3 linked regions of the Coturnix japonica genome follow. The protein of the gene in region 3 interacts with the protein of the main gene of each other region in a biochemical or structural test. Links are inferred from orthologs where the notes say so. Each region holds a gene or a part of one and is shown on either strand. Other genes may lie near its edges.

Evidence for each region.
Region 1: the proteins of MAGI1 (region 3) and NET1 form a complex in vitro, tested with the Homo sapiens proteins (3 studies listed by BioGRID and IntAct, with this or other methods). The link is inferred for Coturnix japonica from reciprocal best matches to the Homo sapiens genes MAGI1 and NET1.
Region 2: the proteins of MAGI1 (region 3) and CYSLTR2 interact in a test that uses a peptide from one of them, tested with the Homo sapiens proteins (2 studies listed by IntAct, with this or other methods). The link is inferred for Coturnix japonica from reciprocal best matches to the Homo sapiens genes MAGI1 and CYSLTR2.

Annotation. Positions count from the first base shown.
Region 1 is NC_029516.1:1,134,388-1,138,116, forward strand, and holds the end of NET1 (neuroepithelial cell-transforming gene 1 protein), read right to left. Parts: intron 2,865-3,729; coding exon 2,678-2,864; intron 2,342-2,677; coding exon 1,944-2,341; 3' UTR 627-1,943; downstream 1-626. UniProt on the Homo sapiens protein: Acts as a guanine nucleotide exchange factor (GEF) for RhoA GTPase. May be involved in activation of the SAPK/JNK pathway Stimulates genotoxic stress-induced RHOB activity in breast cancer cells leading to their cell death.
Region 2 is NC_029516.1:151,149,630-151,153,276, reverse strand, and holds part of CYSLTR2 (cysteinyl leukotriene receptor 2), read right to left. Parts: intron 1,212-3,647; 5' UTR 1,185-1,211; coding exon 243-1,184; 3' UTR 1-242. UniProt on the Homo sapiens protein: Receptor for cysteinyl leukotrienes. The response is mediated via a G-protein that activates a phosphatidylinositol-calcium second messenger system.
Region 3 is NC_029527.1:11,736,781-11,740,853, forward strand, and holds the start of MAGI1 (membrane-associated guanylate kinase, WW and PDZ domain-containing protein 1), read right to left. Parts: upstream 2,918-4,073; 5' UTR 2,482-2,917; coding exon 2,193-2,481; intron 1-2,192. UniProt on the Homo sapiens protein: Plays a role in coupling actin fibers to cell junctions in endothelial cells, via its interaction with AMOTL2 and CDH5. May regulate acid-induced ASIC3 currents by modulating its expression at the cell surface.

The sequences.
Region 1 (3,729 bases), on a different chromosome or scaffold from region 3:
GTCCTTTGAGGACGAGCCACGCGCACCCACAGCTCATAATGCCTTATTTTCTCCTGCAAAAAGAGTTGTTGTTTTTTTTTTTTTTCTTTCCCCCCAACATCATTTATGCTCCTAAAGGCAGAGGGCTGAGCCCCTTCCAGCTCAAAACTTGCATTCAGTGGGTAAAAATGGTGCTGCAAACGCTGCCTTCTGGCACACAGCCCTGGGAGACCCAGGGGAGTCGGCGTGGAGCTGTGCCCATACGCTGCCATACACGGTCAGCCCCACAGTGCTTGGATAGGGAGTAGTTATCACCGCTGTTTCCTCCTACCCCAGAACGTACAGCAAGCTCTGCAGGCTCTGCAGTGAGTCACGGAGCTGTGCCCTGTTTTACAGCACCCACCCGTCGCACACGTAGGGCGGCGTCAGGCCGCGTGCAGGGCCATAAACCATTCGCTCATTATTTCAGGGAAAAAAGGGAAGGGTTGTGACACAGCACAGCCTTCCTCTGAATTCGGGGCCTGGAATGTCTTGGAGAGACTGGGGACAGGAGAAGTGTCAGCTGTGAGCTTATCTCCTCTGTATGAGCTCAGCCTTATAGCCCCGGCAGCATTATCGCGTCCCACCCAGGCAGCGACTCAGACAAGCAGGAGGCCATCAGGAATTTAATTGTACTTGGCACTTGAAACTGTACAAAGACATTCATTTACAGAGAACCGTGCGGGTTTGTGTCTGTGTGAACCCTCTTCCCATTTCCAACGTGACCCAACAGGCAGGACTTCACCATTGAGTCCTCAGGTTGGTGTCGTGGTGGTTGGTGTTGTGGGATCGCCTTCAGCCATGCCATAGAGACGATGTTTTGGCTTTGATCAGAGCTGTCACCGCTTTGTTTCCTCCAACACTTTGCAGCACAGGTTCCAAGCTGGCATCTCACGGGAATCTTTGGATCACTGTAGAACATGGCAATGCCTGCCGTTACGCGGCTATATACAGTCGCCATCTCTTTTGCCCTTAACTCATCAGCTTCAGCTGCTTGCTTTCCTCTACGCTTTCTTTTCTCTATGCTCTCTACCACATGCAATATCCTCTTGGTCGCCTCCAACCCTGCCTCCCACGGGCAGTGAGAGGCGTTTCATTTGACAACACAACAATAAAGCTACTCTCGCTCCCTCTATTTCCCTCTATCTGCTCTTCTTCCCTCCCCAAACCCTTTTGCAACGTGCCTAAAACCTTCCTACACCCCATTACAACCCAGTTCTGTGAGTGACGTGAGAAGCGATTTGTACATCTCTGAACAGGAAGGATTGAGGACTCGAAAGGAAATGCCAAGTCCAACAAGAATACAAAAGTAAAAAAAAAAAGGAAGAAAAACAAAGAAAAACGAAACAAAAAATACCCCCAAACCAACCCGAAACAAAACAACTAATTAAAAATAAAAAACCAATTAAATACGTGGCAGGTTACGTGAGTGACGATGAGGAATGTACAAATGGACACTCAAAAATGAACAATTCCAGTAGGTAAGTTGAGAACCTGTTGAACTTGGGGTCTGTTTTCCTGCAAGAAGCAGGAAGAAAATGGTTGTTTCAGCTTTGGAACGTGCTTGTAGCACTGATGTGACCTCAAGGAGGGACTGTGGCCAGGCTCTGGGTGATGGCACAAACCACAACCACCAGACGTGGAAATCTTTCCGAAACCAAAAGGTGTTTGTCCAAACTCTGCTGTGAGGTGGTCAAAATGTTGTCTGACACTGTCAGAGCAGCCACGTTATATACAAAGAGAAAACAGACTCCAGTTCAACAGTGTTAACTGCATACCAGTAGCTGCCATTACAACATAAAGGAAAACAAACCAAAAGACGCTTCTGTTCAGTAGAGCCAATCCAATCGTGCTCACATGACAAGAAAAATGTACACGTTATTTATAAATAAACAGTCCTGCCAGGATGGCATTGGGCTCCTCCCCTACACCAGCGTTTCTTTCCTCTTGCTCAGCTGCTTCTCCCTCGTTTTCCTGTGCCCAGAGAGTGTTCTGTGTGTTTTCGTGCCCTTGGCTTCCTCTGAGTCCATGATGGAGCTGCACTCAGCTATGCTCTCATCAAGATCCATCTCAGTGATGCCCGACATGGCCGACTGCCTCTTCTGGGCTCTGATGTTGGGCACGGAGGGGTTGTTTTCCTCCGATTCCTCGCTGAGCTCTGGCAGCTCCTTCAGCTCTGGGGCAGCACTGGCTCTCTGGAAGGGAGCAATGGCTGTTCGGATGCAGTTCACCCATTGCTGCTTGTGGAAGATATCGTTGGCCTGCAGTGTGTGGGACTGGCCTGGGGAGGGGTCTTGGAAACGAACTCGGAAGATATTTTTAGCTGAAGGTAAACATAGGAAAAAGCAGATCAGTTTTGAGCTCGCTATTCAATTTCCATTATTAGACAAGCGACCCAATCTGCCCTGTTTTGCTTCAGGGAAAGCGTTCAACGTCTCACCAACGTTCCCCCCCCCCCCCCTCCAAAAATCCCCAGCACTGATACACTGAAGTCTTTTCTAATCTTAGCACCGACTGCAAGGCGCCATATAAAAGTTTACAGCTTCCAGATACAACACTGCAGAGCTCAACAGTGACAGCACCGTGGTGGATCCCATAGGGATCCATGCCCGGACGTTCCCTCTTGCCCTCAAACAAGATGGGTTGGGTTGCTTTATACCTTTATCTGAATTGCCAAATGCTCCTCGGAAGGAGCCTCCCATTTTCACATCGCCGTCCTGCAGGTCCTCCAGGATCAGCTCCTGCACAGGGATGGGCTGCCTGTACACCTGGTAGGACTGACGCTCATTGCGAGTGACCGGCCGGGTCAGAACCAGGATGTCTTGGAAGAGGAAGACGTAGAGTTTCTGAAAGGGAAAGCGTGTTTGAGTACGAGGAAAGCACTGTGTTCTATCTGCCAAGTGTTTACACACCCTCTGGAATTCAAGGCCACATTATCTCAAGTCTCACCCATGTTAACTTTCGGATGGTTTTCTATTGCAGTCACGTAGGGCTCTGACAGTGATGACATACACAGGACTAAAACCAACATAGACTTATTGCCTTATGACCCTGAAATTGGATTATAATGTGCAGATGGCGAGGGTAGAACACGTGGGTAGAAGCAATACATCTCCTGCCTATGTAAAATGCTTCATAGAGTCACAGAATGGCCTGGGTTGGAAGGGACCTCAAGGGTCACAAAGCTCCAAGCCCCCAGTGCAGGCAGGGCTGCCAACCTCCACATTGAATACCAGCCCAGGCTGCCCAGGGCCCCATCCAACCTGGCCTTGAACACCCCCAGGGATCGATGGGGCATCCACAGCCTCTCTGGGCAGCTGTTCTAGCACCTCACTACTCTCCCTGTCAAGAACTTCACATCTACTGTGGCAAAAAGAGTGAATTAAACAAACCAATCAACCAGAAAAGAAAAAAAGAAAGAAAATAGAAAAAGATTTCATGTTTAAACTGAGGCTAAGTCAGAACAAAAGGCAGCAAACCCTTGAGTACAGCAGGTTCTTTCAGGGCTGCTGCAGTGGGAGATAAACTCTTGGCAGTTCATCTCTAAGCCAAACAGGCTTTTGCAGGAACGCTTTTGTTTGGAAGAACTGTGGCCAGTGTTCACAATGGGGAATGTCAGAGCACCTGAAAGTAAACAGCTGGCAGGAAATCCCTTCTGATGGAGTGCTGGGGCATGGAGCAGACTTTCTACAGTAATTTTGTGCTAATTAT
Region 2 (3,647 bases), on a different chromosome or scaffold from region 3:
GTACATCTGTAGCTCTCAGTAGAAGTGGATCATAGATCACACCCAGGCACCTGACCTCCAATCACCTGCACTGCTGAGCTCCTGTCTTGGTATTGACCATCCTCACTGAACTTTATCCCAAACACTTTTCTTCCCAAGATGCCTGGCACAGTGCAGTATGGTCAGCAGCACATTCATTCATCACGTAGTATGGATGCAGTCTAGATGTCTTGGCAGGAGTGCAGGAACGTAATACTGCAATTCTACACAAGCATCCTTCGGTATAAACTTCTGATTCTTGCTTTGAAATTTTCAGCTGCAAAGTAATATAGCACAGGGTCCAGGCAGCTGTTGGTGGCAGCAAGGCAGAGTGAGACCACCTGTGCTTTGTGCACGAACAGATTGGCTGGGCTGCAGCCACCGAGCACTAGGTAGACTGTCCGCAGTACGTGGTACGGAAGGAAACACAGAAAGAAGAGGATGAGAGTGATGATGATGGTTGACAGTGCTTTCTTGTGACAGACTGCCTTCTTGCGCTGGGGTGTCTTGGACTTGAGCAGCGCTCTGATGGCAAAGATGTAGCAGATGATAATTGTGCAAAAAGGCAAGATGAAGCCCACAGCAAGGACAAAGCTGTTCATCATGAGGAGCCTGTGCGTGCTGCTGGGGTGGAGGTCCAAGCACTTGGCTGGGTTTTTGTACCCGGCAATTACTTTGCTCAGCAGAGGACTGGAGGCTGCCAGAACGAAGACCCATATCACTGCACACATTATCTTGGCATACTTCATGTTACTTACTTTCCAGCTCTTGAATGGGTAGACGATGGCCATGAAACGAACCACACTGAGCACGGTGAGAAAATAAATGCTGCAGTACATGTTCACATACATGGTGTACGTCATGATCCTGCAGAGGATATCACCAAACACCCACTGTGATCCTAACAGATAATAGGTGGCCCGGAAGGGCAAAGTGCTCACAAACATGAGATCCGAAACTGCCAAGTTCTGCATGTAGATGTTTACTGAGGTCTTCCTCTGGGAAGGCTGGAGGAAAACATATATGGAGAGGCTATTTCCAACACTGCCCAGGAAGAAGATTAAGAGGTACGCAATGGGATAAATGACTTGCTTGAAGGCATCCGTGCTACAGGTGAATGAGCTGTTAGTGGAGCTGTCATTTAGCGTCATCTCAGAAAAATTCATTGTCTGGAGTGGGAGCTCTCTGCCTTTCTGCAAAAGTATAAAGAAGTAAAGTGAGTGCAGAGCTGCAGCCTCTTCAGGGAGATCAGTGCTAGGACTGTTTCACATGGCAGAAATGAGAAGACACGTTGGAAATTAAAGCTTCCTGAATGACTAATCACTGTGATGTCTCTGTAAATGAACACACCAGCTCTAAATGGTTTCAGTATTACAGCAGCTGGTTTGTTGTTTTTTTTTTTGTTATTTGTTTTTTGTTTGTTTTTTGTTTTTGTCTCAAATTATGAGAGAACTGTCTTTTAGAAGTGGATGTTATGCATTCATTTTAATGGCAATTCCCCGGCCTTCTCAAAGCAAAATAAGCCAACTTGACATTGGCCATTTTGCAGCAGGAGGTTATGAGTTCCTGGATACCACCCATGGAACCTTCAAAAACTGATCAGTAAAAGAAGTCATCATCCACCAGTAAGTCTGAGCTTCAAATTAGGATGGAAAGTCAAAGTAACTGTATTTGCCAATATGAACCAGCCTAATCTTCCTAGAACGATATCTGCTGTTGACAGCACGTCACTCAATATGCCTGAGTGATAGCAAGAACACACTGATGTACTTCAATGTGTATAAATTAATGATGTTTTGATCTGAAACACTATAAATACTGTTCTCATTCAAGGTTCTTTTTTAACTCCCTCCCCCTCATACTGTATTTCTTCTTTCCTCTAGTTAGTTTCCTAGGTCTCTATTTGTGGGGTCTTTTCTTCATTCACTACTTTTCCAGCCTTTTGTGTGCTCATTTCTTTCATCAGACATTCATCTATATGGCAGCCTGAATTAGCAGCCCTAATAAAAATGGCCTGTGGAAAACAGGCTATTTCCATAGAAAGTGATATTTTCACTCCCACAAGGCTATATTTCAATCAAATCAAAACAACCGGTCAATAAAACACTCTAAATAGTATACACATTTTTTTTTTCTTTTTAATGTACTTGCTAAACTCCTGATTTTTTTCTCTCTGATGATCTGTAAGTAGTAGTATTTTAAAATCATAGAATTATAGAATACCCTGAAATTGAAGGGATCTGTAAATGTAATCAAGTCCAACTCCTAAAGGGAGGTCTCTGGTTCTGCTACTTGTTTAACAATGGGACAGAAATGCCCTCTCTGCAACTGCCAGCACATCCCAGAAACGCACTGAAAAAATTTAGCCTAAAAAGCAGAACAATATGAAATTTCCAAGTGCATGAAAAAAGTTTTAATACATCCCAGTGAGAAAGATAAGGGCCTAGTGGTATATGCTTGCAGGTTATGTCTTTTTTTTTGGACCTCACAGGCTTCATAATTTTGAATAAAGTTATTTGTGTTCTTGGAATTTCACTACGGGGAAAGCTTGGGCACCTTGGACTACCACTTACACACTATAGCACTGGCAACACTGCTGTAAATGGAAATTAATTTGTGCACTCAGATACTTTTCTGTGGTACAAGAGCTGCTCTATGTTGAGGGCAGCCAGTGACCTCTTCAGGGCTCTGTGTCGGAGTACAGATCCCTTAATACAGCAACCAGATGTGCCCCAGAAGTTATTTTTTGTGGCCAAACAGAGCATGGGAAATGGAGCCTGCCCAGGCTGGGCTCCTAAGAAGCAGAGCTTATCCCCTGTAGCAGGATGGGAATGCGGCAGTTTGGGCTTGGGGAACAGGGGCTTTCACTAACAACAATAATGTGACCATCCCTGCAGGGCTTGAAACCATCCCTCCAAGAAACAAGGACAATAATGTCTATAAAGTGTAGGAGTGCTGAAGACTGGAACTTGGCAAACTGAACACTCGTTCCCCCCTAAAGAAAATCTCCTCCTTATTTGAAAGTCTCTTCGCCAGTGTAGAGGATAGGCAACGTAAGCTTCCCAACAAAACAATTGCAGTCCAAGGAGATCTCATAGAATCATAGAATCACAAATGGCTTGGCTTGGAAGGGACCTAATAAATCACCTAATTGCAAGCCCCTTGCCATGGGCAGGGTTGCCACCCACCAGGTCAGGCTCTTCTCAAGGCTCAATCCAACCTAGTTTTAGTACCCAGTACAAAGTTACTGTCTGACATCAAAGTTTTCTGTGTGGGATCAGGAAACATCTCTTCTTCTAATGGAAGTTGGCCCCCCTGTTTTACAGGGAGTCATCACAGATTGATGTACTTCAAAGAGAAGAGACTTTTGATGGTGCGTTGCTATTAGGGCAAGAGAGAGAGCACATCTGCAGAGCAAAGGAAAGGGTGGCTTTCCTGAAATAACTGCTGTGTAAAGTATATCAGTGGGAGCCTCTGTGCCATGCTGCTGGCTTGATAGTAGTGATAGTGTAGGATATACAGGTGAAGGAGTGGCACTGTGCAGGAAGGACTGTGTAACTAGCAATTGCATACAAATATTATGACTGAAAGTCCTTGTGGACAGTCATTCCATCTTCTCATAATGAAAA
Region 3 (4,073 bases):
AAGAAAAAGAAAATATTGCATGTGGACCTGCAAGTCTATAAACCTCAGTTTAACGACAGAACACGTGCACAGCTTATTTGACCTTAGTTTCACATCCCAGTCCCTTGTTGTCCACTAACTGCAAGGTCAGAACACCTATTTTCTCTGTTTGTGCTCATAGATGACTGACTCATTTATAGTAAATTTCCTGTTTTTCCAGCCTTGTAAATGTCATACGAAATAGACCAGGCAGTAAAATGTATACATTACCAGGCCAAGATCACCCTAGTGCTGCAGCACCAGCAGACCAGGCACCACACACTGGGAAGAGGAGGAGATGCGTGCTTACACCCTCATCATCACATTCCTTCACTGCCTGCTCCAGTGCCACACGCCTCCTGTCGCATGACAGCTGCCATCCCCACAATGAGCTTTTTAATCAGCAAAGGAGTAATGTATTTTAATTCAAACACTCTCCTTTCCTACGCGTGGAATCCTGACCCACGAGGGAGCTCCCTGCTCAGTGCAAAGCAGCACACAGATGCCAGGCTTTCATTGAGAAGCACATAGAATGATTTCCAAACCACAAAGAAAGAAAGAAAATGAGTGATAGACAAAACTATATATTTCTATTCTACATTTCATTCTCACAAAGCATTCAAAAAGCAATCATCATCATCACCATAACCAGGCTTGGCTCTCCCCTCTGGGTATGGATGATGCAAGGCTCAAGTGCCTGCCCCGACTCCAGGCACAGCTTTGAACTTTTTTCTCCCCAGCTCCAGGAAATCCCAACCAGCACCCTACAAACTCCTCCCGTTTCAACCATCCTGGAGCCAAGGTGTGTTTACCATCAAATTCTGTCATTTCTGGTATGTTTCAAAGACAAGTTTCTATTTAGACTAATGAATGTTTCCAAAACAACCAAAAGTTTAATCACCAGTCGCTTGCTGGGAAGGACTCGCACACCTTCCTTCACACACCAACCACACTGCAACATCACAGGCTGTATTTTAACACCTACTACAACAACTGGTACACCAAAACCTGCCCTGTTTCCCCATACTTCAGCCTCCTGCTTCCCCCCCATCCTGTCAGGGCAGCCTGCACCGACCACTCTGTTCCCCAGCAGCAGGGAGAGCAGGCGTTAAAGACAGCTGGGTTTGATGGAGTTTGGCACTGTTTGCTGGAATATCTCTACAATGTGAATGTTCCTAGAATCACTAAGGTTGGAAAAGACTTCTAAGATCATCCTGTCCAACCATCCACCCACCACCAACACTGCACGTGTCCCTAAGTACCACATCAGCCCTTAACCACCTCCATGGACTGAGACTCCACTACTTCCCCTGGCAGTCTGTTCCAAATGTTACTGTAACCGCACATTGGTAACCTGTTTCAAATTACCGATGAATGGCTGCGCTTCCATGCAGCTCCACCCACTGCACACCCCCAAACTTCGTGATGCGCCTGGACCACGACAAACTTTCTCCTAACGACTCTCCCTACGGAACCTGCCCTTCCTTCCTCCCTTCCTCACAGCTGTCATCGCAGGTGCCCATCTGTCGTCCCACCCATCCCATAGCAGCAACACGGGCAGTTTCCTGGCGCTGAATTCCAGTCCTGCCCTGGAAACTGCAAGTTGGTTGCCACGCTTTTGACGTTGACCTGTTGTATCACTGCAGCGTCTACATGGATACAAAGTGGATTCTAAAGGTCTCTTGCTGTTCCGGCCCCCGGCCCAGCCACAGAGCTATACCTGTGTGCGCCCTCACCTAAGGGGCAGCAGCCCTACGCTGGCCTTAACCCGGAGACGAGCAGCCCTAAGGGACGAGTGACAGCACTCCCCCTCCCACAAGCGACGGTCCCACACAGGCACGGAGCTCACGCTCACTTCTGGCCAAGTCTCCATCCACCATCGCTGCAGGGAGCGATGCGGGACTGCGGGAGTGGGGAACCCAGCACCCCGTGCCCCAGTACCAGATGCCGGCCCCGCAATCACTTAACACAGACTAGGAACGCGCGAGGAGCCGTAGGGATGCAGGCGCTCGGAGGCACGCTTGCACGTGGCAAAGGTGAGCACCCGCGTGTGTGCAAGCGTGACACGGGCAGCAACCTCGCTCCTCGCTCAGCCTGCGCTGCCCAAAGGGAAAACGTTCACCTTTCCCTTCCCGCACCTTCCCCACGCTCGGACACCCCCCGGCCCCTCGCACCTTGTTTGACGGCTTTCACTACGATGGGCTCCTTGCAGCTCCGGATCACCTCCAGCACGTCGTAACGCGGCAGCCCGGAGACGCGCACCCCCTGCACCTCCAGCAGCAGATCCCCCTCGCACAGCGACTGCTCGCCGCCTCCGGCCGCCACCGCGCCCGCGTAGGGGAACTCGCCGTGCTCCGCGCCGCCCAGCAGGACGAAGCCCAGCTGCCCGCCGGGCCCGCGGCTCAGCGCGCACTGCCGCACCCGGCTGGCCCAGTGGTTCTTCTTCTGGACGACCCGCGACATGGCGCTGCGCGGTTCTCCGCGCCCGCGGCGGCGGGTTAAGCAGGTGCGCAGGGGCTCCGACCCGCTGCCTCATAGACCTCTCCGAGCCGCCCGCTCACAGCCATCACCGCCGACGCCGTGCCCGCATGGCTCCGCGCCCGCGGAAAGGACTTTAAAATAATAATAATAATTAAGGAAAAAAAAATAAATAAAAACTAAAAGAAAAAAAAATGTAAAAAATGTAAAAAGTGCTCAGTAAGCAAAATCCGGCTCGTTCTCGCCCTCCTTCTCTCCGCCGCCGCGGGGCCGCTTTGTTTTCTCTCCTCCACCCTCTGCTCTCTTTCTCTCTCTCTCTGTCTCCGCGGTCGCGGACTCGGCGCCTTTAAGGCGCTACAAAGCCCCGCTTGTTTTGTTTCACTTCGCTCCGTCCCGCTCCGCCGCGCTCCGCACCGCCGGCGCAGGCGCCCTGACACGGCCCGCCCCGGCCCCCGCCCGCCTCCCCGCCCCCGGGCCGGCCCCGCAACCCGGCTCGAGCCGCGCGGGGCTCCGGGCGGGTGGAGGCGGAGCGACCCTCGGGAGAGCCGGGCACGCGGAGGTCCCGAGGGGCGGTGGGTGGGTGCTGAGCTTGGCCGAGGACCGTGCGAGTTGTGCAGGTGCGGAGTGGGAGCCCACCTGTGCCCACCTGTGCCTTCGGTGGGAAGGACTGCACGAGCTTCTCCGCTTGTCTGCTCTGAAGTGCCCGAATTTCTGATGTCAGCGATGTTCTCGCCTTTTGTTTTTCCCACGCAGAACAGATCTGCACTTTCTGGTGGGGAGAAATGGTGCGCATCCATCCAGCCACCTTTAGCCGCAGCTCTTCGAAGTTAACCAGAACTCGTGCAAAAACTCTAGTGGGGACTGTACTCGTGCCTGCACCAGCTGTCCCTCCCCACTCACACTCTGTACCTCCAAACCTGAAAGCCGGGCCACATTCTGAGCAGCCTAATGCATGGCCGATCCCCGTTCAGCAAGGAGTTTGGTTGTCAGATGAGTGCCTGCCCTGTTTCAGTGCTAATCAGAACTCAGAAGTGACACTGAGGAGCAAAGCCTCTTCTTGTTCCCTGCGCTGCCCTCTCGTGTGCCCTCATCTCTCCAGCCATGCATGTACCCAAACGATCTGTGATGCCAACAGGCCGGGGGATGTACGCAACAGCTGTGGCTGCAGCTCAGCTGGGCTTGGTTCCCAGACCCCAAAAGTGGGGTGACAGCAGTTTCCCAGCCCTTCCATCTGTCCCAGGTGAAAGAGAGGATCCCATCCTTCTCTCATACTCAGCATCCCCATCACTGCTTCCCTGCAGCTGAGATCCCTCCCACAGCTTTTTCCTCAAATTCCCATTCACTGCAGGTAATGCTCTGCAGCCACAGAAGCTGTGCTCTCCAGCCTGAGTGGCACAGCCACCTTCAGGCCAGGGAATGGGCATGTTTTGTCCCATTGACAGAGCACAGCAGCACAACAGTCAGCCCTGTGCTCTGCATGCCTCCATGGGAAGCTTATGGGATTGCCAGGGCTCGGAATGCTGGAATGAATAACAGAGCCCCTTCCAAGGAGCACAGCAGAGTCTGCCTCCCTGGGA